Callithrix jacchus: one gene and its partners. The protein of the gene in region 3 purifies or fractionates together with the protein of the main gene of each other region. This does not show direct contact. Links are inferred from orthologs where the notes say so. Each region holds a gene or a part of one and is shown on either strand. Other genes may lie near its edges.

Region 1 (7,881 bases), on a different chromosome or scaffold from region 3:
TTATATTTAGAATAAACTAGACTCGAAGAGAAAACTATTAGACCTGATAAAGTTATTAGAATTGTAGGATACAAAATTAACATACAAAAATTAGTGGCATTTCTATATACCAACGGTGAACAATCTGAAAAAGAAATTTAAAAAATAATCCCATTTACAAGAGCTACATATAAAATTAAATACCTAGGAATTAACCAAAAGAAGTGAAATGTCTCTATAATGAAAAGTAAAATACACTGGCCAGGCGCAGTGGCTCATACCTGTAATCCCAGCACCTTGGGAGTCTGAGGCAGGCAGATCACAAGGTCAGGAGTTTGAGACCAGCCTGGCCAACGTGGTAAAACCCCATCTCTACTAAAAATACAAAGAAATTAGCCAGGTGTGGTGGCACACACCTGTAAGTAATCTTAGCTACTCAGGAAGCTGAGGCAGGAGAATTGCTTGAACCTGGAAGACGGAGGTGGCAGTGAGCTGAGATCATGCCACTGCACTCCAGCCTTGGTGACAAAGTGAGATTCCATCTCAAAAAAAAAAAAAAAAGAAAAGAAAAGTAAAATACACTGAAGAAATTGAAGAGGACACCAAAAAAATGGAAAAAGATTCCATGTTCATGGATTGGAAGAATCAATATTTTAAAAAAATGTTTTTTTTAAAGACAGGGTTTCACCATGTTGGTCAGTCTGGTCTCAAACTCCCGACCTCAGGTGATCCACTCACCTCAGCCTCCCAAAGTGCTGGGATTACAGGCATGGGCCACCACGCCTGGCCTAATACTGTTTTTTTATTTTTATTTTTTTAACTTTTTTTTTTTTTGAGACAGACTTTCTGTTACCCAGGCTGGAGTGCAGTGGCACAATCTGAGCTCACTGCAACCTCCGCCTCCTGGATTCAAGTGATTCACCTGCCTCAGCCTCTTGAGTAGCTAGGATTACAGGTGTGCACCACCAGGCCCTGCTAATTTTTGTATATTTAGTAGAGAAGGGGTTTCACCATGTTGGTCAGGCTGGTCTCGAACTCCTGACCTCGTGATCCACCTGCCTTGGCCTCCCGAAATGCTGGGATTACAGGCATGAGCCACCACGCCCAGCAGAAGAATCAATATTGTTAAAATGTCCATACTACCCAAAGCAATTAGCAGATTCAATGCAATCTCTATTAAAATACCAATGACATTCTTCACAGAAACAGAAAAGGCCATCCTAAAATTTATATGTAACCACGAAAGACCCAGAATAGCCAGAGTTAATCCTAAGCCAAAAGAACAAAACTTGAGGAATCACATTACCCGACTTCAGATTATACTCCATAGTTATAGTAATGAAAACAACACGGTACTGGCATAAAAACAGACACAGACCAATGGAAGAGAATAGAGAACCCAGAAATAAATTCACACACCTATAGCAAACTCATTTTTTGACAAAGTTGCCAAGAACACATAGTGGGGAAATATAGTATCTTCAATAAATGGTGCTGGGAAAACTTCATATCCATATGCAAAAGAATGAAACCAAACCCCTATCTCTTGATGTATAAAAAAGTCAATTTAAAATGGATTAGGGCCAGGCGTGGTGGCTCACACCTGTAATCTCAGCACTTTGGGAGGCCAAGGTGGGCGGATCACTAGAGGTCAGAAATTCGAGACCAGCCTGACCAACATGGTGAAATCCCATCTTTAAAAAGAAAAAAGAAAAAGAATAAATAAATAAATAAAATGGATTAAAGATTTAAATCGAAGACCTCAAACTGTGAAACTACTGCAAGAAAACATTGAGGAAAACTTCCATGACATTGGTCTGGGCAATGACTTCTTGAGCAATATCCAACAAGTACAGACAACCAAAGCAAACATGGGCAAACTTGATTGCATAAAGTTAAAAAGCTTCTGCACAGCAAAGGATACAATCACCGAAGGGAAGAGACAACCCACGGAATGGGAGAAAATATTTGCAAACTACCCCTCTGACCAGGGAATAATAATCAGAATATATACATAAGGAGTTCAAACAACTCTATAGGCAAAAATATAATAATATGATCAAGAAATTGACAAAATATTTGAATAGACATTTCTCAAAAGAAGACACGAATGGCAAATAGGCATATGAAAAGGTACTTAGCATCACTGATCATCAGAGAAATTCAAATTAAAACTACAAGATATCATCTCACCCCAGTTAAAATGACTTATATCCAAAAGACAGGCAATAACAAATGTTGGTGAGGATGTGGACAAAAGGGAATACTTGTACACTGTTGGTGAGAAAGTAAATTAGTATAACCACTATGGAGCACAGTTTCGAGGTTCCTCAGAAAACTAAAATTGAGCTACCATATGATCCAGCAATCCTACTGCTGGGTATATACCCAAAAGAAAGGAAATGAGTTTATCAGAGAGATATCTGCACACCTACGTTTCTTGCAGCAGCGTTTACAACAGCTAAGATTTGGAAGTAACCTAAGTATCCATCAACAGATGTTTGAATAAAGAAACTGTGGTACATATACACAATGGAGTACTATTTGGCCAAAAAAAAAAAAAAATGAGATCCTGTCATTTGCAATAATATGGATGGAACTGGAGATCACTATGTTAAGTGAAATAACGCAGGCCCTGAAAGAGTAACATCACATGTCCTTACTTATTTGTGGGATATAAATATCAGAACAATTGAACTCATGGACACAGAGAATAGAAGGTTACCAGATGCTGGGAAGGATAGTGGGGGATTGGGTAGTAGAAGTGGGGTTGGGTAATGGGTACAAAAAAATAGAATGAGTAAGATCTTCTAGGGCTGGGCGCAGTGGCTCAAGCCTGTAATCCCAGCACTTTGGGAGGCCGAGGAGGGTGGATCACTAGGTCAAGAGATCGAGACCATCCTGGTCAACATGGTGAAACCCCGTCTCTACTAAAAATACAAAAAATTAGCCGGGCGTGGTGGCGCGTGCCTGTAATCCCAGCTACTCAGGAGGCCGAGGCAGAATTGCCTGAACCCAGGAGGCATAGGTTTCTGTGAGCCGAGATCGCGCCATTGCACTCCAGCCTGGGTAACAAGAGTGAAACTCTGTCTCAAAAAAAAAAGAGATCTTCTATTTGACAGTGCAATAGGGCAATAGGGTGACTTTTATGGTTTGGATTTTTTTCCCACCCAAATCTCATCTTGAATTGTAATCCCCATAATCCCCACATATCTGGGGAGAGACTTGGTGGGAGGTGATTGGATGGTGGAAGTGGTTTTCCGTATGCTGTTCTTATGATAGTGAGTGAGTGCTTACGAGATCGGGTAGTTTTATAAGGGGTTCTTCCCACCAGCCCTGTGGTGGTGCATGCCTGTACTCGGGAGGCCGAGGCTGGAGGGTCACTTGAGACTGGGAAGTTGTGGCTACAATGAAACATGATCATGCCACTGCACTCCAGGTTGGGTCGAGTAGTAAGATGCTGTGTCTAAAACCAAAAACAAAGTAAAATCCTTGACTGGCAAAATATTCTCTATCAGCTTTCTTTTTAAAAAATTACATAAGTAAAACATGTATCTTTAGTTATTTATCTCTTTAATCAGATTACCTTCTGTAATAATTCTTTGGGAATTATTCTACAGGAGGGCAGTCATTGACGCCTGTAACCCCAGCACTTTGGGATGCCAAGTCAGGAGGATTGCTTGAGCCCAGGAGTTTGCAACCAGCCTGGTCAACGTAGACCCTGTCTCTACCAAAAAATAAAAATAAAAAACAAAAAACGGGCATGGTGGCGTGTGCCTGTAGTCCACGGTATTTGGGAGGCTGAAGTGGAAGGATCCCTTGAGCCCAGGAAGTCAAGACTGCAGTAAGCCAAGACAGCACCACTGCATTCAAGCCTGGGCAGCAGAGTGAGGCCCTGTCTCAATAAAAACCCACAAAAAACTATGGGGGCATCGTATGGTTGCCAGTGAATAAGGGTTACCAGATAAAAAACAGGACGCGCAATTAAATTCAGCTAAACGAGGACTGTATATTTTTAGTGTAAGTATGTCCAAAATATTGTTGAGGTATACTTACACTAAAACAAGTATTCATTGTTTACCTGAAATTCAAATTAAGTAGGCATCCTATATTTTCATTTGTCAAACCTGGCAATCCTACCAGCACTTTAACATGAAGCTATGAGGTTTGTCTGGATTCATGCTGGTAGGTAAGCACCAATCCATTCAGTTGCCTCAGACGGAACAAAAGCCATTCTCCCTAAAAAAAGAATCTTTTAGTGTGACGGTAGGTAGCAACGAAGCACGGAAGAAACTTGACCCTTTGAGGAACCCGTAACAGACGCAAGTGCCTTAAATGCTACTTTGATTGATTTCCCCGCCCCCTCCATTCTTCTTTTCCTGCAATTGTTCTATCACTTCTTCCCTCTCAAGTCCCGCCCTTTCAGCTACCTCCAACTGCAGAGGAACCGGTTGCTTAAAAGGAGCCGGCAAAAGCGCCTACGTGGAGGCCAGAGGAGCGGAAGTAGTCAGATTTGACTGAGAGCCGTAAAGCGCGGCTGGCTCTCGTTTTCCGGATAACGACTACACCTCCGACTGTCAGTGCCGGCCTTCCTCGTGTAAAGGGATCTGCCGGACCCTTGCAAATTCAATTTCGTTCCCATTCCGGGCCCTTCCCTATCGTCGCCCCCTTCACGTTGGATCATGTTCAAGAAGTAAGGACATGCTGTGGCCTCCATCGGCTGCTCACAAAGGCGGTGGGGTGGGGGTGGGGAAGAGGGCGAGAGCTAAGATCCGCTTTCTCTCTCCCCCGCCCCTGCCATCCTGACTCCCTAAGGTTTTCTATAGTACTATGCTCTAACTCGCAACTTGAACACTTCTTTAAGCTTTCCATCCGTAGTCCTCAATCGGGTTTCGTTCCCTTCACTCCCATTGTTTTTTCTCCTTATCCCTCTTTCTCTTTTGCCCCCTCCCCCGATTCCGTCTCCATTCCTAGGGTTCTACCAATCACATCCGTGCACTGTGATTTAGGGGCATATCCTCTTTAGCTGAGAGGGGAGCCCTGCGCTCACTGCCATATGTTTATTAGTTATGAACTGAATAAAGGAAGGCTTGACTTCCTGGGTCATGGGAGTGAAGGAGTCTGGGTGACAGGAAGCAAGCGGCCTGTCATGCCTATTGCCTAGCTGCCAGATTAACCTTGCCTTGAAAATAACGTGATTGCCCCATAAGCTATTCAGTGTAAGGAAGACAAAAATTCCTTGGGAACCTACTAGTGGGTTTGCCTTCCAGGTTTGGTAGACGCAAAAAGCAAAGGGGGAACATGGGCAAAGGAAGGTGGGTTTTTTGCATGAAATTTTGAGCAAAAATAAATAGGGATCTTATAAATCATCACTTTAAAAAAAGTCTCAGCAGACTGCATAGCCTAGCAGGGGCCGATTTTCTATGTTATGCTTGGGTTGGTCTTTTGTATCAATTGAGGGTTTTGTTTTTTGATCACAGGTTTTATTATTGGTGGGAGCCCGTGTTTTTCCTGGGTAGAATTGAATAAGATTTTCCAGGAAAGGCATTTGTGTAGCTAATTAGAGATTATGGTGCAAAGTGTGTCTTATATTCCTCTCCCCAACCCCAGCTAATTGCTGTATACTTGACAGTTAATTTCAATATTGTATTAAGACATTAGTTTTGTGCTGGACAGAGTAAAAGGGAGGTGGTATTTTTTTTTAAAAAAACAACTTATTTCATAATTATTTTAAGTATCTAAATACTTGCTTGGGAATACTAATCAGAACAATACCTTTAGGTATTATGATACCTCTACTTAGAAATCCCTTTTTCTTTTCTTGCAAAAATTACTTGGCAGATTTGATGAAAAAGAAAATGTGTCCAACTGCATCCAGTTGAAAACCTCAGTTATTAAGGGTATTAAGAATCAGTTGATAGAGCAATTTCCAGGTATTGAACCATGGCTTAATCAGATCATGCCTAAGAAAGATCCTGTCAAAATAGTCCGATGGTAAGTCTTTGTTTTTGTCTGTGTAAAGCTTGGAGTAGCTGAATGTTCAATGATTAGATTGCACTCATACTAAATGGAATTATTTTCAGATTAACTATTGATAGATTGATAATGGGGATAGACACAGAATAACTCCAAAACTCCAATATTTGTATTTTCATAGATTTTCTATGTCCCTGAAAAAAATGTGGCTTTGTGTATTGTTTTATTAAAGAGTTAAATGTTTTAATTCAGAGTTGGATTTAATTTATTTCAGTTTGTTCTTTAGAGAATTGTTTTATTGAATTATCTAACAATGGAATTAAAATAATAAAATGTGAAATAAAATTGGTTGTAGCAGGTCATATTTTTCTTCTCTACTGTACTTGTATGATAGGAAAAACAATGTAAACAATATTTTTTGGCCAGGATTTTTACTGACTTCTTTTAAAGTTTACTTTATCACTATATATGCATTTTTATGTTGTGAATTTTTGAAAAATATCTAACTTGGTTCTTTGTGACATTTGTCTTACAGCCATGAACATATAGAAATCCTTACTGTAAATGGAGAATTACTATTTTTTAGACAAAGAGAAGGGCCTTTTTATCCAACCCTAAGGTTACTTCACAAATGTAAGTTTCTTTATTTTTATTTTTTGAACTATTTACTCTTACTGCATAATTCAAATGTAAAGTCTTGTAAGAAATATGCATTTAATCAGATGAGACCCCACTGCAGGGAAAAAACAGAAATATGCATTTGGGGATACTGAAAGACACAAAAAGAGTTTAAAGTGGCTTCTGATAGTTAACTCATTATTTATTAGTACTAGGTAATAAGGGATGTAAAACTAAAATGAATGCCCATCTTGTGGTAAATCTGAAAAATGCTCATGCATTCCAGAAAGCCCAAGAAAGAGCATTCATTCATTCATTCATTCAACATATATTTATTGAACTTATTGTGTGCTAGGCACTCACTAGGTGCTGAGAATACAATGGGAAGCAAAGACATTGTCTCTGTCCTAATGAAACTAATAGTCTAGTTTGGAGAATAAACAACAATTAGGTAATTATACAAACATGTATTTACAAACTGTGATAAACATTGTGAGCATTTTCGTCTTTTATATTTATATCTATTTGCCCAATAGAGAAAAGTCTATATATGGGAAAGCATTGGCTAAATGTCCTTCCATCCAGTTAGTTACTTTCTGTGATATGTGTAAATGCATATAATTTTAAAAATTGGGCTGTTACATAGTTTGTAAAAATTAATACATAATAACTCTACATTGTCTGATGTTGTGGTGCCTGTATCCAACCCCCCTCCCACCTGTATATATTTATAGTTGTTGTACATATTTTAGGGGTACATATGATATTTTGATACCTTTATACAGCGTGTAATGGTCAAATCAGGTAAATTAGGATATCTGTCATCTCAAATGTTTATCTTTTTGTTGAGAGGACTACAATTCTTCTAGCTATTTTGAAATATACAGGAAATCATTGTTAACTATATTTTCCTTAACTGTACTCTCGAATACTAGAACTTATTTACTGGTATTTTTGTACCCCTTAACCAACTTCTCTTCATCCCCTTGTAGTTTTTTTTTTTTTAGTTAATAGGCTTTATTTTTTAGAGCAGTTTTAGGTTTACAGAAAAAGAAAGCAGAAACAACAGAGTTCTTTCTCCCCAGTTCAGTTTCCCCTATGAATAACATCTTGTGTTGGAATGATGCATTTGTAACAATTGATGAACCAGTACTGATACATTATTATTAATGCAAGTCCCTGGTTTATATTAGAGTTCACTGTATTCTACAGTTTTATGGATTTTCCCAAATACATAATATCAAGTATCTACTGTTACGGTATCATACAGAATGATTTTGCTGCCCTATAACATCCTTTGTGCTCCAT
Region 2 (7,754 bases), on a different chromosome or scaffold from region 3:
CCAGAAAAAGACCCATGAGGGGCTGCACTTCCCTGGTGGGGACCCGGTGGAGCGGAGTCTCCCAGGCCTTAGGGATGCGTGATCTTGGTAGAGGTGACTGTCCACTCCTTATTGCACACCCTCCATCATCTTCAGGAACTCTGCGGGAAAGGAGAGGGAGCGGGTCACAGGTCCCACCTGGGGATGCAAAGGTCAGGCCAGGGCTCCAGTCATTCAGAGGGGATGACTTTTTTGTTTGTTTTGAGACGGAGTCTAGCTGGAGTGTAACCCAGGCTGGAGTGGAGTGGCAAAATCTCAGCTCACTGCAACCTCCGCCTCCCAAGTTCAAGCGATTCTCCTGCCTCAGCCTCCCGAGTAGCTGAGACTACAGGTGCATGCCACCAGGCCCGGCTATTTTTTTGTATTTTAGTAGAGATGGGGTTTCACCATGTTAGCCAGGATGGTCTCAATCTCCTGACCTCATGATCCACCCACCTCTGCCTCTGAAACTGCTGGGATTACAGGCCTGAGCCACTGCACCCGGCCTTGTTTTTTGTTTTTGTTGAGACAGGGTCTCACTCTGTTGCCAAGGTCTGTCACCAAGGCCTGTCGCCCAGCCTAGAGTGCAGTGGCACAATCACTGCAGCCTGGACCTCCTGGGCTCAAGTGATCCTCTCACCTCAGCCCCTGGAGCAACTGGGATCACAGGAGACCCCTGGCTTTTTATTTTATTTTTGTAAAGACAGGGTCTCACTATGTTGCCCAGGCTTGTCTCAAACTCCTGTCCTCAAGTAATCCTCCCGGCTCGTCCTCCCAACGCGCTAGGATTTTACAGGCCTGAGCCATCGCGCCCTGCTGCCTGGTCGTTAACTGATAAACTGCACGGAGTCGTGGAGCACTTCTATACCAACACTTAGGAGGAACTTGGTGAGGTGACGCCCAGCCCCGCCCACAAGGCCAGCGACAGCGCACGGGAGCCAGTGGCACCAGTACCCGCTGCCCCTGTGGCTCCCACCCTCTCTCCCAAGCTGCCGCGGCCCTCACCATCGAAGTCAATGCGGCCATCGTTGTTCTTGTCCCCGTCTTTCATCAGAGATTCGATCTCTTCGTCCGTCACATGCTCTCCAGAGGCCCTGAAAATCTCAGCCAGCTCCTCCGCGTCGATGTAGCCGTCTGCGTTCCTTCGAGTCCGAGGGATAGGGGAGGGCTCAGGACCGGGGCGAGTTGCCCTGGTTACGCTCGACACCCCGTCCCCACACCCCCAACCCGGGAACCTTCCGGCGCCACCGGTCGGGCTCTGACTGCTCGGCCCCTCCCTTGGCTCCCAGGCCTCCAGCACACCTGTCGAAGATGCGGAAGCACTCGGCCAGCTCCTCCTCACTCTTCCCCTTTGCATCCTCTTTCATCTGGCGCACCATCATGACCAAGAACTCCTCGAAGTCAATGGTGCCGCTGCCTGCGGGGAGCAGGTGGTGGACTGAGCCTGAGCCCGGCCGCCGCTGCCTCTCCCCACCATCCCCTGCCTCCGAGGGCCAGCCGCTCACCGTCCTCATCCACCTCCTCGATGATGGCGTCCAGCTCCTCCTTGGTGGGTGTCTGGCCCAGCATCCTCATCACGGTGCCCAACTCCTTGACGCTGATGTCCCCACCACCATCAGCATCAAACATGTCAAAGGCAGCCTTGAACTCTGCGAGGGAGAGCAGAGGGCAGAGGTGAGGATCGCTGGACTGTCAGCCTCACACCTACCCCCCAACCCTGCCGGGAGGCCAACTGCTTCCCAGCCTGCCGGCCTCACTCACCAGCGATCATCTCCTCGCTGAGGTAGGACCGGGCCTCAGCCTGCTGGTCAGTCTGCAGGAGACACAGAGAAAAAGTCAGCTGAAGAGGTAACCCTAGAGCAGCACCTCACCTCTACCCCATTCACCCCAACCCCCACTCTGCCAGCGCCCCTTGGTCCTCCAGAAGAACAACTTCAAACTCGTCACATATTTGTGTGCCCCCACAGCACCCAATCAGTTTTGTTTTATTCAGAAGACAAGGTCTCGCTCTGTCACACAGGTTGGATATGTAGTATGATCACAACTCACTGCAGCTTTGACCTCCTGGTCTCAAGTGATCCTCCTGCCTCAGCCTCCTAAGTATCTGGGACTAGTGTACACCATGCCTGGCTAATTTTTTAAATTTTTGGTAGAGATGGGGTCTGACTATATTGCCCAGACTGGCTTAGAACTCCTGGGCTCAAGTGATCCTCCCGCCTCAGCCTCTCAAAGTGCTGGGATTACAGGCTTGAGCCACTGTGTCCAGCTGCTGACCCCCGTTTTTTGTTTTTGTTTGCTTGAGACAGAGTCTCACCCTGTCACCCAGGCTGGAGTGCAATGGCAGGATCTCGGCTCACTGAAACCTCTACCTGCCAGGGTCAAGCAATTCTCCTGCCTCAGCCTCCTAAGTAGCTGGGATTACAGGTGTGTGCCATCATGCCCAGCTGATTTTTGTATTTTTAGTAGAGGCGGGGTTTCACCATGTTGGTCAGGATGGTCTCGAACTCCTGACCTCAGGTGATTTGCTCACCTCAGCTTCCCAAAGTGCTGAGAGCCACCGTGCTCAGCCTGGCACTAGTTTTGAGAAAAAGAGAGGAGACAGCAAATTAAGCCCAAGGCCTTCTCACTTGTCAATTGAAGGCCAAGTCAGGAATCCCCCCAGTGACCTTAGGCAAGTCACTTAGTGTGCCTTCATCTCTTCTCTGTAGCTTTTCAGGGATGAGATATCAGGGGTGTGAAAGGGCTTTGTAAAAGGCTAGCACCATTCCAGCAGTATTTTCCAGTTTTCTCTAGCTCCTAATGGTGCTCAGTACTTTAATAGTTGCTCAATAAAATGTTTGTTCTCAGATAAATAATAATGCAACACAAGCCGCGCACAATGGCTCACCCTGTAATCCCAGCACTTTGGGAGGCTGAGGCAGGTGGATCAGGAGGTCAGGAGTTTGAGACCAGCCTGGCCAACATAGTGAAACCCCGTCTCTACTAAAATTACACAGAATTAGCCGAACGTGGTGGCGGGCACCTGTAATCCCAACTACTCAGGAGGCTGAGGCTGGAGAATCACTTGAACCTGGGAGTCAGAGGTTGCAATGAGCTGAGAGCACGCCATTGCACTCCAGCCCTGTCGATAGTGTGAGACTTCAACTCAAAAAAAAAAAAAAAAAGGACACAAAGTTATTGAGCACTTGCTGCATGTCAGGCCACAGATCAGGCACTGGGACCACCAAGAAGAGACCGAGGATACATCCTCCTGCCCCTCAGAGAACTGGCGGAGTCGCAGATCAGCTTCCTTCTTAGGATTCAGTCATTGGAGAAAAGGCCTCTCATATTGGGCAGAATGTGAGGGGGGCCTTGACATGAAAGTGAGATTTCTGTGGGGGCTTCCAGGTCATATCCAAGCCAGACCATCTGGGTCGGAGGCTTTGGGCTGAAGCTGGCAGTAAGGATGGGGTGAGGCTTCCAAGGAGCTCTTCAGCCGGCTGGCCGCTGGCCCTCCTCCTTCTCCCCCTCCTTACTCTCTTCTTCTTTCCCTGTGCCAGGAGGGCAGGCTATTTTTAGTCAGGCATGGGCAACAGCAGCTGGCCTCTGGGATCTAGTTACTCCTTGAGGTGAAGTGAGGAGGGGATTCTCAGACGAAAACCACAGCACCAACTCAGAACCCCCTCTAGGAGAGCAGGGTTTCTCTAATTCTGGTCTGTCATCTTCTGTCTCTTCCCATCGTCCTCAGGGGTCCCGGAGCCCCTGTATCTGAGTGGGCCCCACGCCCTGCAGGCCTCTCATCTTCTGGAGGAGCCTTTCTTCTCTCCATGATGGTAGGAGGGTTTGGCCAGGAGTCTGGCTCACCCCTGCCACTGGCTTGCTGGGTAACTCACTCTGACCCCTCAGGGTCCCCACTATGTGAAAGAAACATAGCTAAGAGCTCTTCACAGGTCTATGAATGACAGTGCTGGAAGTTTCCAAAGGTGCATAGGCAGTCAGCAAGCCTTGACCATCAATCTCTGGAACACCCCAGCCCTCCCCTTCCAAGAAAAGTCAAAGGCCTTCCTCCAAGACACCTGGGTTCCAGGAACCTCCATGCTCCAACCTCACACATCCAAGTTACTGCCCCACAGAGCACCCATGCCTGGCCTCAAAGATGTCCAGAGTGTTCCCGTGAGTGAAGCCGCAATCCCTTCTTGTCCTTACCATGGTTGCTGGTGACCGGGTCTCCTCTGCTGCAGGTCACCTCCTTTGCACTCCACCACCCAAAGATGCCCTGGCCTGCTCTAGCCCCTGGGATTTGTAGGGGCACCCTCCCCTCCCACCTCCCTGCTCCCCAGCACTGGATGCCCTACCCAATCAGATCCTGGTGTCAGTGAGCCCCACCCCACCAAAGGTCTGAACCCATTACCTAATTTAGCCAAGGGCCCTTGCAGAGAAATTTAAGCCTCCGAGCAGGTGGCAGGCCTTGACGTCCCAGATTCTTGTGAGGAAGGCCCGCCCTGTTCCACCGCCTTGGAGTCCCCCTGCTCTCCCCCTCTCACCAGGGAAGCACACTGGCTCCAAGATGGTAAGGACAATCAGAGTAGTAAAGAGTGAGGCAGCACAGTAAAATGAGGAGAGTACAAGCCTTGAAGTCCAAAACCCAACATTCAAGGCCGGCCTCTGTGAGCTGTGTGACCTTGGGCAGGTCGAAATGCCTCTCTGAGTCATTTCCTCGTCTGTAGGATGGACCTCTCTGTGCAGTCTCCCTCACAGAGAAACCACGGTAAATGGGAACCCAGGTATAAGTCACCTAGCTTAGGCCAGGTATACAGGGTTAGTGCTTGGCAAGAGGAATGTCCTGTCTTTGAACCATGGTGAGGGGTAGGGGATAGAAGGAGGAGAAAGTGACAGCTAGGCCACTGTTTACTGAACCTCCATGACGTGCCATACACTGTGCTAAGTATTTTAACATGATCTCATCTAGTGCTCCTCCTATGAGATAGCAACTATTATTATCCCCATTTGACTGCAGAGCTTTATAAATCATAAAGGTCTATACTTGCTCTGTCACCAAGGCTAGTGTGCAATAGTGCTGTTACAGCTCACTGCAGCCTCAGTCTCCTGGGCTCAAGTGATCCTCCCACCTCAGCCTCCCGAGTAGCTGTGACTAGAGGTGCACTACCATCCCTGGTTTTTTGTTGTTGTCTGTTTTGTTTTATTTTTGTATTTTTTGTAGAGATGAGGTTTCACCATGTTGACCATGCTGGTCTCGAACTCCTGGGCTGAAGGGATCCTTCCACTTTGGCCTCCCAAACTGCTAGAATTATAGTCATGAGACACCATGCCCACCCATGTTGATGATTCTTCTTTTTCTTCTTTTTTTTTTTTTTTTTGAGACGGAGTTTTGCTGTTGTTACCCAGACTGGAGTGCAATGGCACAATCTTGGCTCATCACAACCTCCTCCTTCTGGGTTCAAGCAATTCTCCTGCCTCAGCCTCCCAAGTAGCTGGGACTACAGGCGTGCACCACCATGCCCAGCTAATTTTTGTATTTTAAGTAGAGACGGGGTTTCACCTTGTTGACCAGGATGGTCTCGATCTCTTGACCTCATAATCCACCCACCTCGGCCTCCCAAAGTGCTGGGATTATAGGCGTGAGCCACCGCGCCTGGCCCTCTTCGTATTATTTTTTGAGATGGAGTCTCGTTCTGTCGCGAGGCTGGAGTACAGTGGTGCGATCTCGGCTCACTGCAACCTCCACCTCCTGGGTTCAAGCAATTCCCCTGCCTCAGCCTCCCAAATAGCTGGGACTACAGGTGCATGCCACCACGCCCAGCTAATTTTTTTGTATTTTAGTAGAAACGGGGTTTCACCATGTTGGCCAGGATGGTCTCCATCTCCTGACCTCTTGATCTGACCACCTTGGCTTCCCAAAGTGCTGGGATTATAGGCGTGAACCACCACGCCTAGCCCAAATGATTCTTATTATGAATTCCGACTGGAGGAAAGTTGGGACACTGTCCTTTGGGTACCTGTGCAGATAGAAAAGTGTATGGAGGGGAGGGATGGAGGAGAGGAGGATGTGCATTTGGAGGAGAAATGATCATTGAAAGCAAACACCCTTCTTTCAAAGTTACCTTCTCCAGGGAAAGGTGGTTTGGATTCACTTTTAGGGGTGGCGAGTTGGCAGGGGAAGGTTCTTTAAGTGGTAAAAGGGCAGCTGGCCCCTTCCTAGAGCTCAGTGAAGAAATCTGGTCATCTAGGGAGTAAAGGGGTGGGCAGATCAAGTCCAGAGGGATCCCACCCTCAGAATCCACGAGGTGCATACTAGGCACTGGGGAGTAAGGCAAGGCTTGTGGACAGTAGCTACGTCGACAGAAAGAGCACCAAGACAACCGATAGCAGGCTCCAGGGCCAGGAAAGCGGGGCTGGACACCAAGGAAGACAGATGGACAGTGGCAACTGGGCTTCCCCTATATATAGACATTCCCAAGGAAAGTTCAGCAGGGCCATGCCAAGCTAGATAAGGCCTCCCCAGGCAGGCAGGGAGCCAAAGGGTGAGACCCATGGGATTCCAATTCCAATTTGGTTATTTTTGCTTTTTGGGTTTTGTTTTTGAAATAGAGTCTCACTCTGTCACCCAGGCTGGAGTGCAGTGGCACAATCTTGGCTCACTGCAACCTCCACCTCCTGGGTTCAAGTGATTCTCATACCTCAGCCTTTTGAGTAGCCGGGATTACAGACACATACCACCACACCTGGCTAATTTTTTTTTGAGATGAAGTCTTGCTCTTGTTGCCCACGCTGGAATGCAATGGTGCAATCTGAGCTCACCACATCTGCCTCCCAGGTTCAAGTGATTCTCCTGCCTCAGCCTCCCGAGTAGCTGGGATTATAGGCATGTACCACCACGCCCAGCTAATTTTGTATTTCATGTAGAAACAGTGTTTCTCCATGTTGGTCAGGCTGGTCTCAAACTCCTAACCTCGGGTGATCCACCCGCCTTTGCCTCCCAAAGTGCTGGGATTATAGGCATGAGCCACTGTGCCCAGCCAATTTTTGCATTTTTCATAGAGACAAGCCTTCATCATGTTGGCCAGGCTGGTCTCGAACTCCTGACCTCACTCAAGTGATCCTCCAGCCTCCCAAATTCCTGAATGTGGCCAAGCAAGGTCCCACTGGCCCTTCTAATCTCCCTGCTCCTCCCCTCCACATTGTGTTGCTGTCTGTTCTGGTCAGACTTTAAAATACTACTCTAAACACCACCTTTTACGAACCTTCAGGCCTTTGCATATGCTGGTCTTTTCTGCCAGAAACTCCCATATTCCCTCCCTTCATCTGTCTACTTCCCTATCATCTTTCTCAGCTCTAGCGTCACTTCCTAGGAGATCCTTCCTCCCCTATGTCCAGGCTGGGGAGTCCAAGGTGGTCTCCAGTAGTTTCCTCAATCAGAGCACTGAGCATGCCTTATGATCACCACCCATTCTATGTTTCATAGACCATCATATTTTCCAGTACTCAGCACTTGCCACATAGCAGGTGTTCAACAGATATTATATTCTACATAAGAATAACTGGGCCAGGCATGGTGTCTCACACCTGTAATCCAAGCACTTTGGGAGGCCAAGGCAGGCACATCACCTGAGGTCAGGAGTTGGAGACCAACCTGATCAACATGGAGAAACCCTGTCTCTACCAAAAATACACAATTAGCTGGACGTGGTGGCACATGCTTATAATCCCAGCTACTCGGGAGGCTGAAGCAGGAGAAT
Region 3 (7,139 bases):
AGCTTGGGCATAAAGACCTAGATTCTATATAAAAAAAAAAAAAAGTACAACAATAACAAAAAAATAGTATCAAAACAGCAGTCAGACACAAGAGGCTGGAACTTGGGGTAGATCAGATTGTTGATATATATTTGTGAGTCATCAATTTACAGGAGATATTAAATGCTGTAGGGAACTGACACAATCACCCAGAGAAAGAGTGTATATAGAGAAGAGAAGAGAGCCAGAACTAAGGGGTTCAATTATAATATTCAGAAGGACATAGAACAAGAAACATGAACAACAGTTACTGAAAACCCACCAAAATAAGAGTCAATAGGCAAATATGATAACCTAGATGCCAAGAAAAGAAAGTGTTTCAAGAAAGGAGTGACAGCTTATGTTAAAAGCAACCAGGCTGAAAAATCTAGTAAGGTACTAACAGAGAAATATCCTCTAAACTGGTAAATGTCACTGGTGACTTTTTGATTAAAAGTATTAGAGGAAAAGGGAGTTGAAAAGCAGATTGGGCTTGGTTAATAAATAAATGAAGGATGGCAAGAAAATGGAGATAGCATATATGAACAACTCTTCTGAGGACTCATTATGAAAGCAGTAGAGAAATAAGGCAATAGCTGAAGGAGAATGTGAGATAATTAAGAGAAAATTTTTAAAGTAAGAAGATAATAAAAGCATGTTAAGGCCAAAAGAAACAACTCAGGGGAAAAAAAAAAAAAAGGTAATGGTAATGCACAAGCAGGGGCAAAGACATTGAGAAGCTGGAAAGGGATGGCAACTACATTGGCTAGCTTTTAATAGGAGCAGACACATCCCTAAATGTGCTTCTGCTTCTATCACAATGTGAGTACAGATGTTGGAACTCTGGGAAATTATTGATAGCAGGAAAATAAGTGCTTTTCTTTTCACTATGAATGAAAGGTTAGAAGCTGGAAGTGGGGAAGGAATAAAGGGGAGTGTTAAGTTTGAGAGACATGAAGGCATAAAATAATCATTTTGTACAGCTGGAGAACATCAGTGTTGAAAAGGACTGCTCTGATGCAGTGTTGAGCACCCATTGAAATTTGTGGTCATAATTTTCTTCTCTATCCTTCAGGGATTCCACTGTAGACTAAGAGAAGGCAGACAAGTAGGTTCAACCAGAGATGGAGCCTAGCAAATTTTCATATTCCCATTGTCCCTTTCTTTGATACCAGTAAGAATGACGGAGGACATGTAAAAGAAAGGCATAAATATTTAAATAAAAAGGTATCCGCAGCAAGGCAAGTATAGACAGAAGCATACTTTATCATTTGTCTCTATGCAGTGAAATAATAGAAATCATGGTCATAAGCTGACATTCCCATATACTCTATTCACCCAATGGACAATTCCCAATATTCACAAACACATTTGTACTTCGGCTATGGCAAGTGCAAAAGAGATTGGAGAAAAAACAAAAACAAAAACATTTCAGCTTACTGCTGAAATGCTGAACTCCAAAATAATGAAAAAGCTCTTATCAGAACAATTACAGACATAACCTTTAGATGTTAAGTCTAACATCAAATCATTTTTCTCAGTAGTGATAACTACCTTGGTAACATGGAAACATTCTAATTATCTATACCTTACTCTACCAAAATTCTCTCAATAATCTCCTAGTTAAAAATATTTCCTTACTTTCTATAAATAATTTATGAGTAAAAGTACTGAGTAATGTTTCAACAGTCATCACATGATCACCAAAAATACTTTTTCTCTTCAATAATTCAAATGACTTGTCACATTTAATACTTACATTAATTACTGAAAGAAATTTAGCAATTTGAAATACAGTATTAAAATGCATTAAATAGCTTTAAAAAATAAAGTTCCAAATAGTTTACTCATAAACATGTTTAAGAAACAACTAGAATTGTTAAGATTCAGTCGAACCTGAATGTAAGCTAGAGTCTTGCTAAGTTTTCCTAAAAACTTATAATTGATCAAAATGTTCAACAATATTTCCAAAAATGCTATCACTTTAAAAATTCTTGCTTTTCCCAATTTTACCTGTTCTGAAAAACAAACTTTTAACTACTTCTGCCCTAAATTCCCAAATCTTCCAAAATATTTTATTTTCTCATAAATTAAAATGCTATGTCAACAGTGTGAAAACCTCGATTCTGTAACTCAGCTTTAGCTTATTATGATGGATAAAATGTACACAGTGTTAACAGTTATATAACTGACTCTGGCTTTTATTCCCATAGAAACTGAAAATGAATTACTAAAAGCGGTATATACTGATAAAAGAGTGCTTAAATTAAAACATCCCATATTTGGTAATCTGGCATCAGTTGCCAGAGATGTAAGAATAAAGTGACAGCTTGGCAGCTAAGCTGTTAGAAATTTTTTTATGGGTTTCAGCTTAGGCCTGCCAGCTATATTTCTAGCTGCTAATAATTCTGGCTCTATATTGAGTAAAATTCTTCCTTAGAAAAACCAAAGAAAACTATAAATAAATATCTTATTGGTTTTTATAATTACATGTATATAAAGTACTGAGTAAACTGTAGATTCATTTGTCAAAAATTACTATTATAAATACTAATACATTCCATAGTTAGGGGGGAAAAGTTGACCATGAGGACTTAAAATACTGAGAAGAAAATAGTATTTTAACAGAATGCAGAGGTTTTTTCCACTAGCATCAAGTACCAAGAAGATATGCATTTGGTAAAATAATTCTTTTTCAGGTAAATACTGGAGAAATAATTCTTTTGGTAAATTATATGTTGTTGACAAAAGACCATTATCAAATCAACCATAGAGTGTATACTAAAGGTACTGCATTATTTGAGGGAAAAGAATCAAGAATATAAGCAAAATGAAACTAATATTGATATTTTCACAATCACTTTAATAGAGACATAAAACCAAATACATCTAGAAAGATATTTTGGTCTATAGGGATCTATAAAATCATATTTAAGTCAGGTGCATTAAACTATGCCAAAACACTATCTTTTGGTACCTGCACTTTTAAAAGAATTGTTTTATATAAATTGAAGATTCCTGCTATTTGTTAAAATTCATGCAAGTAAGACACACTTAATTTTTGTGTTTAAGTTACATATCCATACACTACACGTCATTTTGATCATTTATTCCAACAAGAAGTTGATGTGATTTAGTATCTTTCAAAACAGCCAGTAAAGTTTTCACTATCAAAAATCATTAGATGAACCACAGCATACTTAGAGAGGAATATCCTCACCAGACTGATGATGTGTGTGGTGTCCAGATGCCTCAGCAGACTGCCTTTGTTCACTATCTGGAGAAGATAGCAAAGAAGTAGAATGAGGGCTTTCTGTGGGAGATGATGTCGAATGAGCCTGAGCTGACACTGTAGAGGATGTAGAAGGTTGAAGAAATTGTTCAGCTGGAGTATCTACTTCCATTGCCGTTTCACTCACTTCCAAATCAGGACTTGATGGGACCGTAGGAAGAGTTGAAATATCTGATTGACTTGTTCCACCTTCAAAATACATGTTAATACAAATTCACATTTTAAATATTTTCTAAAACCAACAACTCTAAACAGACGTGTTCAGAAAACACATTTCTATTTGCACACACAAACATATATATAATTTCAGTAATAATAACCACTGGTGATTTGGCTCATTTGACAAAATAGGCCAATCAAAAGGGGTAAAAATTTATCTACAACATATTCTTGCTAAAACAATCAATCTTTCCAATTACATAAAACTTATTTATACACAGAATTTTATCATATTTCCATTCTCGGAGCACATTAAAAAAAGGCTTAAAATGGGCAATCTCAGATTCTTTTACTTTTGAGAAAAGCAAAAGATACACACTAGGTCTAGTGGCAAGAGGAGGAACAAATTATATCCAATACCTTTTATTCTCTACTACTTCAAACAATACAGTAAGAATCTTGTGATTACTACAGATGTAAAACACGGTGTAATTTAGATGATATAAGTAAAACTGGCTTCAGTAAGTAGTTTTTGCCAGCTTTCTGATGACTTTAATTAATATGAAGACTTACCTCTGGGTCGAGATCTTCCTCGTCCTCTATTGCTTTGTGCAACCTCACTTGCTTCTTCGAACCATCTTGATAACATATCAGACATTCTCTGCATCAATGACACATTGGGACTCTGCTCTCCTATTACAATATAGGTCTTATCAGTGAATTTAATAATAAGTCAGAATCTTTCATTAATATAAAAACCTAGATTTGAAGGGCTTTAAAATGAAAGCATTTTTTTAAAAAATCAAATTTCCTAAATAAATTGTATGAATGTATATAAATCTATTAGCGCTTTCATCACATGTTACAGTAATTGTTTATATGAGTGACACTCCATCTGTATGGTAAAGTTCCTTGAGAACAGGGCTCATCTCCCCTTCATCTTTGTCTATTCTTAGGTACCTCTAAACCTCCCACCTCCTACCTCAACCTATATTTTTAGTTTTAAGAGTGCCCAGCCAAGAAGGGCTCATGAATTCTAAGTTTAATAGATTAAAAGAAAGATTTTCCCTCTCTCTAAGGCATTATAATCAAGTACAGAAACAAAATAGCCTTATATTTTTGCATGAAGTTTCCTTAAACTCGTTTTCATCATCATTTACTATAAGCAAATTCTAGATATTTAAAATTAGCTGGAACCAGAAAGTATTTCGTCTTCTCCTTCACTCATTTTCCTCTTTCAAATAAACAAGTTTTTCTAAGGGCATTTTCAAATACAATGCCAAATTTAAAATGTGACAACTCTATTCTACAGTCTTATAATTTAAAATGAAAATCATTCTGACATTTTCTGTAAAATCAGAGTTTCTTTTACACTTTACTGCCTTTATATAATGTAGCTCATATACTGGGGAATATGCTTTTGATCATAAAAGACATTTCAGAAGTCATTATAGTAAGATTTTGGTTACAGACCAATTTAATAAAATATAATTCTATAGAATTATAATTCATAGATTAATTCTATTTTCAAGTGTGCTACCTTAAAGGTCCCAGGGTAGTTTCTTATGCTTATCAAAGGCACTTGAACATTTTATGTGCTATTATAAAACTCTCAGGTGGAGTTTTCATTTCTCTTGATATCTAATAGAAAGGCAAAAATTGAGAAGTCTGACAACACCCAATGTACTATGGGGCAATGGGCATTGTTATACTTTCAGTGGGAATGTAAATTAGCACCTCTTTTTTGGAGAGTAATTTGATAACTATCAAAATTAAAAGGTACTTATCCAGTGACTCAGCCATTCCACTTCTAAGAATTTATCCTAAGATATATTTACATAAGTATACTAACATATATGTATAAGAATGTTCATTACAGCATCACTTAAAATAGTGAAGTCAAAATATTAATTTTATTAATATTATTTATCAGTTTTAATATTAAAACCAGAAGTTAAAATATTAATTTTAAAATACCACATACAAAGAAAAGCTGACCAAAGTACAGTTACCATCTCGTTCTCGTTCGCTCTCAGGCCTTGCTCTGGGTCCAGTATCTGACCAATCACCACGAAGTCTCAAACGCTTAACTGGTGGTTGTCGTAACTAAAAGAAAAGAACAGGCAAATTCTATGTAAGTCTAAAACTCATCTATTCTCAACTCTTAATGTCTATTTATTTCTATCTCACTACTTTCTTGAGTATGCAAATTAGATCTAGATGAAAATATAAAAGGCACTGGTATAAGCCACATCAGTCTTTTGAAGCACTCGTTCTGAGGATATATATCCACTGATGTTGACAGCCTCTATCTAATATCTTCAATCCAAAGAGTCTCAATGCAACTTTGAAATCATGTGTATGTAATTTCTAATCTCACCTGTATCACCTTCCAACTGACAAAAGGAAGATATTTTTAACCATCTTGAGCCTTAGTTTTCTATTGTGATGATAAATATAGCCTAGGTAAATTACCCACATACCTAACAAACAATGGGAGTCATCATTATTTTTACTTATTATTGAGAATTTACTCTTCAGTTCCCAAACACAATCCATTCCAACCCTTTATGACTTGCCTCAAGTTATCTATTCCTTTATGCTGCTCTCATTCTTGCCCTCTAACAATTTTTCATCCTACTTCAGAGAAAATGAAAATGACATCATTTTTTTAGCTGAATTCTATAAACTAAATCTACATCTAGAACTTCTAACTCCTTCCAACCTTTCTTGAAGGATGTATTATTTATTCTATTTAAGCCTAATTTCTCCATCTGTGCTTTTTTCTTTTCATTCCTTCAACTCCTCGAGTATCTTGTTTGGCCAATTATTCTGTCTTTTCTACATCCATATCCATTTCTCTCTCCTGGTTCTCTGTCCCAACATGCTAAAGGTTCTTATCACTTTTAAGAAACAAAACAATATTTCAACTTCATAAAACCCATTTTTCCAGCTACAATCCTTTCTCTTGCTATCACTTTACTCAAGCTTCTTGAGAAAATTCTATATGCAATCTAACACTCCTCCTTCAATCCACTGTAGTCCATCTTTCCACTGATTTCCCATCTTTCCACTAACTTCATTCCCATCAGTCACCAGTGAATGATCAATTACTAAGTTCACTGATCAATTATAAAAATGCTCAATAATATGATCAACAATAATTGCCAACTCAAATGGCATCTTTCAGAGCTTATCTGAAATGTTTATGGTACCTACCACTCTTGATCATTCCCTTTAATGTTTACATTTTTAACTTTTTTTTTTCCTCAGGCAGGGTCTCACTCTCTTGTCCAGGCTGGATTGCAGTGGTCCCTTCCTAGCTCACTGCAACCTCGAACTCCAGAGCTACTATGATCTCTAGTGTCAGCTTGTTGAGTAGTTGGTCCATGTGCCACCTAATCCAGCTAAGCTTTTAATTTTTTTTTTTTTTAGAGATGGAGTCTAGCTATGTTGTCCTGGTTGGTCTTGAACTCATGGGTCGCAAGCAATCCTCCCACCTCGGCCTCCCAAAATGTTGGGATTACAGGCATGAGCCACCACATCTAGTCCATTTTAAACATTTTGGTATTGAAATATAATTCACATAACATAATATTCATAATTTTAAATTATACAATTCAGTAGTGTATATTCACAAAGTGGTACAACCATCATCATTATATAATTC
Region 4 (7,139 bases), on a different chromosome or scaffold from region 3:
ATCAGAAGTTTAGCAGACATGGGTGCCATGCTTGTAGAGCCTGCAGAAACGTGAGCCAGTGAAACCTCTTTTCTTCACAAATTACCCCACCTAAGGTACTCCTTGAGAGCAATGCAAAACAGACTAACACACCTATTTCTACATGGCTGCCCATTCTTGATCAAACCTAAGCTGCCCTGGTTCTTTGGTTTCATTTCTGAAGCCTGCTGTGTTAAGTAAGACTCTGATAAAATAAATTTGTTATGGTTTTCTCCTCCTAATTTGTCTTTTGTTAAAGGAGCACTGGCCATGACCCTTATGATGGGTGAGAAAAGGAATGACATTATGCGACCACTGTCGCTGTAAGTTTTTCTTCCCCTCTCAGCTGAGAAAATGATCATTCACCTTTGGTTGAGATCAGGCTTAAGGGATGCCTTTTCCAGGACGTCTTTGATGATCCCAGACTGGTTTCAGCCCTTTCTCTTTGCCCAGTATTATAATGAATGGTGCACGTAATGTGTCTCCTGCTGATTTTAACTTCACTGGGCACAGAATTCTACCTCCGATGTGCAGACCCTCCACTAAAGAGTTTAGTGCGGCTAAAGCAGTGGCTGACAAAAAGACGCTAAACACTGCCATTCCCAAGATGTCAGCAACGTCTACAACGGAAAGAAAGAGCAACCGGACAACCACAGCTCAATCAGCCATCACTTCCAAACAAGTGCCTGCACTCCTGGGCCCCTGCAGGTCAGCAGGTGGACACAGGCTGCATTGGGAGAAGCCACGGAGGGTGACAAAAGCGGTCATTTTCTAATGCTGCTTTCCAAAGACCATAAGAGCAGTTTGATTTTGGACTGAGTGGGCTATTTTAAAAAACTCCCCATTAAACAATTCTTGAAGGCAATGTATCTGCCTGGAAAGGGCACGACCGTGGGAGCGGACAGCACGCTGTCTGCACACTTACTTCCGGGGTTAAGTGCACTTCCATGGGCGTGTATGTCGGCCAATAGCCCATCGTGAGTATGTTCACTGTGAGGTCTATAGGGCCTGAGTCACTCTGATTCTGCATATGCTAAAAACAGAGAAATCCAAGACAAATAATCATTTGAGAAAGTCATGAAACAATTAACTTATAACAAAATAAATTGTAATTTTTCAAACAAAGTTTCATCTGTGTTAGTATTTATCTCAGTCTTAAGAACATACTCCGTGAAATCCAAAGCCTCACTGGAACTGCCTTTTCCCCTTCTTCAGGTGTTACCACCAGACTCACAGAAATCAAATTCTTGCCACAGGTTTAGAGCTTCTTTTTCTTCTCCTTTTAAAATTTACTTGTGAAACAAGAATAGTGTAATTTTTTTCTTTTTTCTTTTTTTGAGACGGAGTTTCGCTCTTGTTACCCAGGCTGGAGTGCAATGGCACAATCTCAGTTCACTGCAACCTCTGCCTCTTGGGTTCAGGCAATTCTCCTGCCTCAGCCTCCCGAGTAGCTGGGATTACAGGCGCGCGCCACCATGCCCAGCTAATTTTTTGTATTTTGAGTAGAGACAGGGTCTCACCATGTTGACCAGGATGGTCTCGATCTCTTGACCTCGTGATCCACCCGCCTCGGCCTCCCAAAGTGCTCGGGTTTCAGGCTTGAGCCACCGCGCCTGGCCAATTTTTTTCTTACATAGTTTAGAATGAGATTCATTCATTCTATCTAATCCATTGAATCTACCTACCTTAATTCTCTATCTGTGCCAAGGTATTGCTCTCTCTGTCTTCTATATATCTATGTGTCTATGTTATCTATGTATCTACGTAGTTAGCTATCTATCCATACATCTGTAACAAGGTCTCACTTTCATGCCCAGGCTGGAGTGCAGTGGTGCAGTCATGGCTCACTGCAGCCTCAAACCGCTGGGCTCAAGTGATCTTCCCACTTCAGCCCCACTCTAGTAGCTGGGACTACAAGCATGTGCCACCCTACCTGCTCATTTAAAATTTTTTTCTTTTGTAAAGACAGGGTCTTGCTATGTTGATCAGGCTGGTTTTGAACTTCTGGCCTCAAGAAAGCCTCCTGCCCCAGCCTCCCAAAGTGCTGGGATTACAGGCATGAGCCACCACACTCAGCAGATACTTTTTTAAAGCATCTGCTGCTTTACTTGAAGAAACACAACTCACCTGCTTGAAATGAACCATGATGTCCTTTGAAAGCTCCATGTCCTTGAACATGCCTTCTAGCTTGCTCGTGAAGGCTGCACCACACTCTGGACACAGCAAAGGAGGCAGTGAGACTGGGGCAGCACGCGGGCAGCACCCCTCAGCTGCAGGGGAGGAGCCCAGGCCCCGCACGCTTACCATGCTTGAGCTTTGACAACATAGACTTCTCAGCGTCCACTGAGGCACTTTTCCCAACCAGAAGTCTTTTTGCCAAATCTTTTTTATAAAATGCTTCAAAGACATCTTTACCTATTTATAACCAGATGAGAAGAATCAAGGCATCAGAGCGTGGATAAGCAAATGTCAGTCTTCAACTGCTGAAAACCCTTAGAAGTGTCCATTCTAATGCAAACTGGCTCTACTGACACCGCCATTCTCATGTTGAACCTGCTCTGAGAAAGCAGAGCCTGTGTTTACACCTCTAGATCAAGCAGCATTTTCTGAGTGCCCAAATCTCACCGTGGATGAACCTGAACAGGATCATGATCTTGTCCAACGTCCGCTCCAGCTCCTCGTCTGTGGCTTCTTTGTTGCCTGCTCTTAACTTTGAATCCACATGCTTTGCTGTGAGCATAAACATATAGGAATACTACATAAAAACATATAAACACATAGCATCTTTAATTTCTATAAGCAATACTGTACAGTAACATTCTGGAACCTTTCCAAAATGATATTACTATATGACGAAAAAGCAAATATCCAATTTTCTAAGATAAATACTCTTAAGTCATGTGAGAGCAAATACTTCCCAAAATTTTAACAAAGCCAGGGACTGAATGTTTAAAGCAGGTTGAACTATCTGTCTTACCTCTAAATGTAATCTCTGAATTTCAAAATAAAATGGGTTCAGTGATCACATGCTCAGGTTCCAGGACACATGGCTGCCCCAAACGCAGGAGTGCCCATTCCTGGGATCTGGTGTCATAAACTCAGAGGAGACATTCTCAAAGAAAAAGACTTTCTCAGGGTATCCAAGGTGGCAACGCAGGGTAGAAGCATTTCTACTCAGGCTTCCTGTTTCTGAGGCTGCACAAGCCATCTGTGAGGTGGCTCGGGAGGGAGGGCCTACGTCCCATGTGATAGAACTCAAGATTTCCAGAAGCCCAAACTCCCAAAAGCTCAACACTCCTTTTGAGAGAAACCAAAGCTGAAACAGAGGCACAAAAGCCAAGGTAAACTGCCTCCTCAATTCTTTCTGTTGCTGCTTTTATAGTTCTTTTCTTTTGAACATTTTACAATGGAATATTCTGAACACACAGAAAAGTAGACAACTGCACAATGAGCTCCATGCTTCATGCACCTTCAGCGTAATCAACGTCAATCTAGCATCATCGTATTACAGTTCTCTTTGCCCCCTTTCTCCTTCAAATTAAAAAAATTTTTACTGACTACAGAAAGCCTATGAATTCTGAAATTATTTTGGTATTATTGTGAAAACACTGTACAACTTAAAAACAGTATTTCAAATATGCTATCATTTGAGATCTCACCTGATTATATCCTATTTTAATACTGATCAGAGGATACAAAGATGGTGGATCACCCCTTCCTTCTTTGGTGAAGTCAAGCATCATTTCTTTTCTAAAGATTTCCTACCTCATCTTCCCTTCTGGAAATGCCCTCCTCCACCCATGAATGCAGGTGTGCCCCCTTTTTAAAATGTATGCCCTAATAAGACCTTGATAAAAACACTTTCCACACACCCCAGGAGCAGGTTGAACATTGTGGAAAAAAATTTGGTTGAGTTTTGCCTTATTTTCCCACATTAAAAAAACCGTCTAGAAATGGGTGAGACTGTCTCAAAAAAAAACCCAGATTTTCCTACCAATCAGTTCTGCAGGCTTGTTGGGTCTCTTGTTGATGAACGTCTCAAACGACTCCTTCATAAGGTTGACGAACCGCTCATTCTTCTGGAAGCAGACCTCTATCACATGGTCCACCTTGTCCTTGAAGTCCAGCAGGTCTTGGACCATGTCTTTATCTTTCTCAGGATTGATGACGATCGCTGTCCCGAAAGTCTACAAAAGCAGATCAATACCCACTCAGCAACATGCTTATAACACCAAACAGTATTTCCTCCTGCTATCACACAGTCAGGATAGTTCAATATAAACTACTCTTAAGAGTAAATACCCAGTAACTTTAAAAGTTTCACAAATTGAGTTCATATTTCAAAAATTAAGTGAATATATTTTTTTTGATTTTTTTTTTTTTTTTTTTAAATGGGGCAGGGCCTCACTCTGTGGCCCAGCTGGAGTGTGGGGGGGTGGTGCAATCACGGCTCACTGCAGCCTTGACCTCCCAAGCTCAAGCCATCCTGCCACCTCAGCCTTGCGAGAAGCTGGTGCCACAGGCTCAGGCCACCACATCTGGCTGATCTTTTTAAAAGTTTTGTAGAGACAGGGTCTTGCCACATTGCCTAGGCTGGTCTCAAACTCTGGGCCTCAAGCAATCCTCCCGCCTTGGTTTCTCAAAGTGCTGGGTTTATAGGGATGAGCCCCTGTGCTTGGTGTCAATATACAGTTAGATATACAATAATGCCTTGCTCTTACAATTCTTTTTCGAGATAACTTACAAATGACTGGGAGAATGTCCACTGCTTCTTAAAGAATGTTTATGCATAAGTTCCTCAAAGACAAGTTAATTCTTACTAATTCAATACATCTGCTGGGATTTCTTAGCTACAGTTTTCTTTCTCCATCACTTCTAACCATGAAAAGCTATTTCTAGTTTGTATTTTTTTTGAGACACAGTCTCCTCTGTCGCCAGGCTGGAGGGCAGTGGTGCGATCTCGGCTCACTGGGACCTCTGCCTCCTGGGTTAAAGCAGTTCTCCTGCCTCAGTCTGCTGAGTAGCTGGGAGTACAGGTGCACACCACCATGCCCAGCTAATTTTTGTATTTTCATTAGAGAGGGTTTCACCATGTTGGCCAGGATGGTCTCGATCTCTTGACCTCATGATCCACCCACCTCAACCTCCCAAAGTGCTGAAATTACAGGTGTGAGCCACCGCGCCCAGACTAGTTTGTATTTTTAATTTAAAAATGCTGTATTAAACATTCCTAAAAGTCTGTGTGTGGTGCTAATAAACAGTTAACTATTTGATGACATAAACTATACATGCTGAAGAGGAGCTGAATATAATTACTGAATATAAAAAAAACTTGTCTCAATAGAATGCACAGAGGCACTCATGTCACACACAGGTGAGACAGCTGGCTGGTGGAAGGATGCCAACAGAAAGGGCACAGATCCTCCTGGAGAGGGCAGTATGTGGCTCACAGGTGTGGAGGGACTCACTTCTTACTCAACATCTCAAACACTATAAGGCCCAGCTTTATTTTGATGGCGGCATGTGTGGAGTCGCATGTAAACTACTATTTTGTTACAGCAGAGCTGCTTATTGCTGACACTGAGGAGTGATGGTCACTTACTGATTTTTTTTTTTTTGAGACAGAGTCTCGCTCTGTTGCCTAGGCTGGAGTGAACTGGCGCGATGTTGGCGCCATGCAACCTCTGCCTCCCGTGTTCAAATGCTTCTCCTGCCTTAGCCTCCCAAGTCTCTGGGACTACAGGCACCCACCACCACGTTCCGTTAATTTTTTGTATTTTTAGTAGAGATGGGTTTCACTGTGTTAGCCAGGATGGTATCAATCTCCTGACCTTGTGATTCACCTGCCTCAGCCTCCCAAAGTGCTGGGATCACAGGTGTGAGCCACCGCGCCAGCCACCATGCACTGGTTTTTATTACCCAGACTAAAAACTGCAAAGGTGAACCTTTCCTCGTACTTAGATGTATTCCTATCCCCTGAAGACTGTCTCACTGGCAAAATCCTAAATTTTCAGTAGCTTTAAGGCTGATTTAATGTGACTCAGTTATAACTTCCAGTTCAATAGCACTCTACGAGACCTTGTCAGGAGTGGTGCTGTGTGTGTACTGGCTTTCCAAGCTGGACTGATACATGACTTCAGATCTGATTATTCCATAAAGCAGCATGTAAGCCTTCATTTGGCTTTTTTATTTAATAGAAATCTTTATTGAGATAATGAAAGACTTGCATTATGGTAAAAATAGCAGAGCAATCCCAGTACCTTCGTTTCCATAGTTTCTTCTAATGGCAACAGTCTGCAAAACTACAGAGCAGCAACTGGGATACGAACACATTAACCCCTAGACTTTTTCAAATGGCCCAGTTTACTTGTAACTCATCTCGGTGTGCACATCTATGACCTCAGCCAAAATCCCAACCATTCCCCCAGAAGGCTACCTCCTGGGGCCTCTTCTAACCATACATCCCACCCCGTCCCTACCCCCTGGTAACTTTTCCTCTGTCCTCCACTTCTGAACTTTGACATTTCCAAAATGTTATGGAATAATATATTAATAGTATGTTAAGTACCTAGGATTGGCTTTTTATTTTTCTCAGCGTAATTCTCTGAAAATTTTATCTTTTAATTATAGGACCTAAGAATAGTCACCAACAAGCAAAAACACAGGTACCTGCTGAATGTTCACCATTTAAGCTGGAAAACTCATGCTAGGCCCCCGGCATATGCTAAAAACACGAGCTATCTGTGAAGGGTCCTGCTGTTTGCCTCAGTTCTCCCGTTTCCATGAAGGGAGTCTGGAAAATGACTTCTCTATTAGAGGGTCTTCAGGAGGTTTCTTGGGCTGGGCACCAGTGGCACTCTGGGTAGGCAATTCTTTGTGGTGAGGGCTGCCCTGTGCATTCAGCAGTACTCCTAGTGTCGCCCGGCAGAACAAGAAGCACCCTCTCTGTTGAGACAGACACAAACGTCTCCAGACATCCACAAGTGTCCCCTTGGTGGGGTGGTGCCCTGGGCCGAGAGCCCCTAGTCTTCAGTGAGGTTCTGTCAGCACCTGCTCTCCCAGGCAGGACACGGGAAAGCTCAAGGTACTGCCCAAGAACTCACTCTCTGTACAGGCTGGAT

The links.
Region 1: the proteins of DCAF6 (region 3) and CUL4B purify together in Homo sapiens (affinity purification with mass spectrometry; 6 studies listed by BioGRID and IntAct, with this or other methods). This does not show direct contact. The link is inferred for Callithrix jacchus from reciprocal best matches to the Homo sapiens genes DCAF6 and CUL4B.
Region 2: the proteins of DCAF6 (region 3) and TNNC2 purify together in Homo sapiens (affinity purification with mass spectrometry; 3 studies listed by BioGRID and IntAct, with this or other methods). This does not show direct contact. The link is inferred for Callithrix jacchus from reciprocal best matches to the Homo sapiens genes DCAF6 and TNNC2.
Region 4: the proteins of DCAF6 (region 3) and CUL4A purify together in Homo sapiens (affinity purification with mass spectrometry; 8 studies listed by BioGRID and IntAct, with this or other methods). This does not show direct contact. The link is inferred for Callithrix jacchus from reciprocal best matches to the Homo sapiens genes DCAF6 and CUL4A.

Annotation. Positions count from the first base shown.
Region 1 is NC_133524.1:116,475,164-116,483,044, forward strand, and holds the start of CUL4B (cullin-4B), read right to left. Parts: upstream 4,489-7,881; 5' UTR 4,410-4,488; exon of another isoform or gene 3,824-4,409; coding exon of another isoform or gene 3,639-3,823; exon of another isoform or gene 3,600-3,638; intron 1-3,599. Other genes in the region: MCTS1 (malignant T-cell-amplified sequence 1), read left to right, coding at 3,639-3,823, 5,821-5,973, 6,491-6,588.
Region 2 is NC_133506.1:41,064,381-41,072,134, forward strand, and holds the start of TNNC2 (troponin C, skeletal muscle), read right to left. Parts: upstream 4,271-7,754; 5' UTR 4,207-4,270; coding exon 4,204-4,206; intron 1,832-4,203; coding exon 1,780-1,831; intron 1,668-1,779; coding exon 1,524-1,667; intron 1,436-1,523; coding exon 1,321-1,435; intron 1,161-1,320; coding exon 1,024-1,160; intron 141-1,023; coding exon 109-140; 3' UTR 1-108. UniProt on the Homo sapiens protein: Troponin is the central regulatory protein of striated muscle contraction. Tn consists of three components: Tn-I which is the inhibitor of actomyosin ATPase, Tn-T which contains the binding site for tropomyosin and Tn-C.
Region 3 is NC_133519.1:34,286,238-34,293,376, forward strand, and holds part of DCAF6 (DDB1- and CUL4-associated factor 6), read right to left. Parts: intron 5,576-7,139; coding exon 5,482-5,575; intron 4,163-5,481; coding exon 4,043-4,162; intron 3,500-4,042; coding exon 3,239-3,499; intron 1-3,238. UniProt on the Homo sapiens protein: Ligand-dependent coactivator of nuclear receptors. Enhance transcriptional activity of the nuclear receptors NR3C1 and AR. May function as a substrate receptor for CUL4-DDB1 E3 ubiquitin-protein ligase complex.
Region 4 is NC_133502.1:28,696,970-28,704,108, reverse strand, and holds part of CUL4A (cullin-4A), read right to left. Parts: intron 4,206-7,139; coding exon 4,013-4,205; intron 2,749-4,012; coding exon 2,644-2,748; intron 2,434-2,643; coding exon 2,323-2,433; intron 2,232-2,322; coding exon 2,146-2,231; intron 1,052-2,145; coding exon 944-1,051; intron 1-943. UniProt on the Homo sapiens protein: Core component of multiple cullin-RING-based E3 ubiquitin-protein ligase complexes which mediate the ubiquitination of target proteins. As a scaffold protein may contribute to catalysis through positioning of the substrate and the ubiquitin-conjugating enzyme.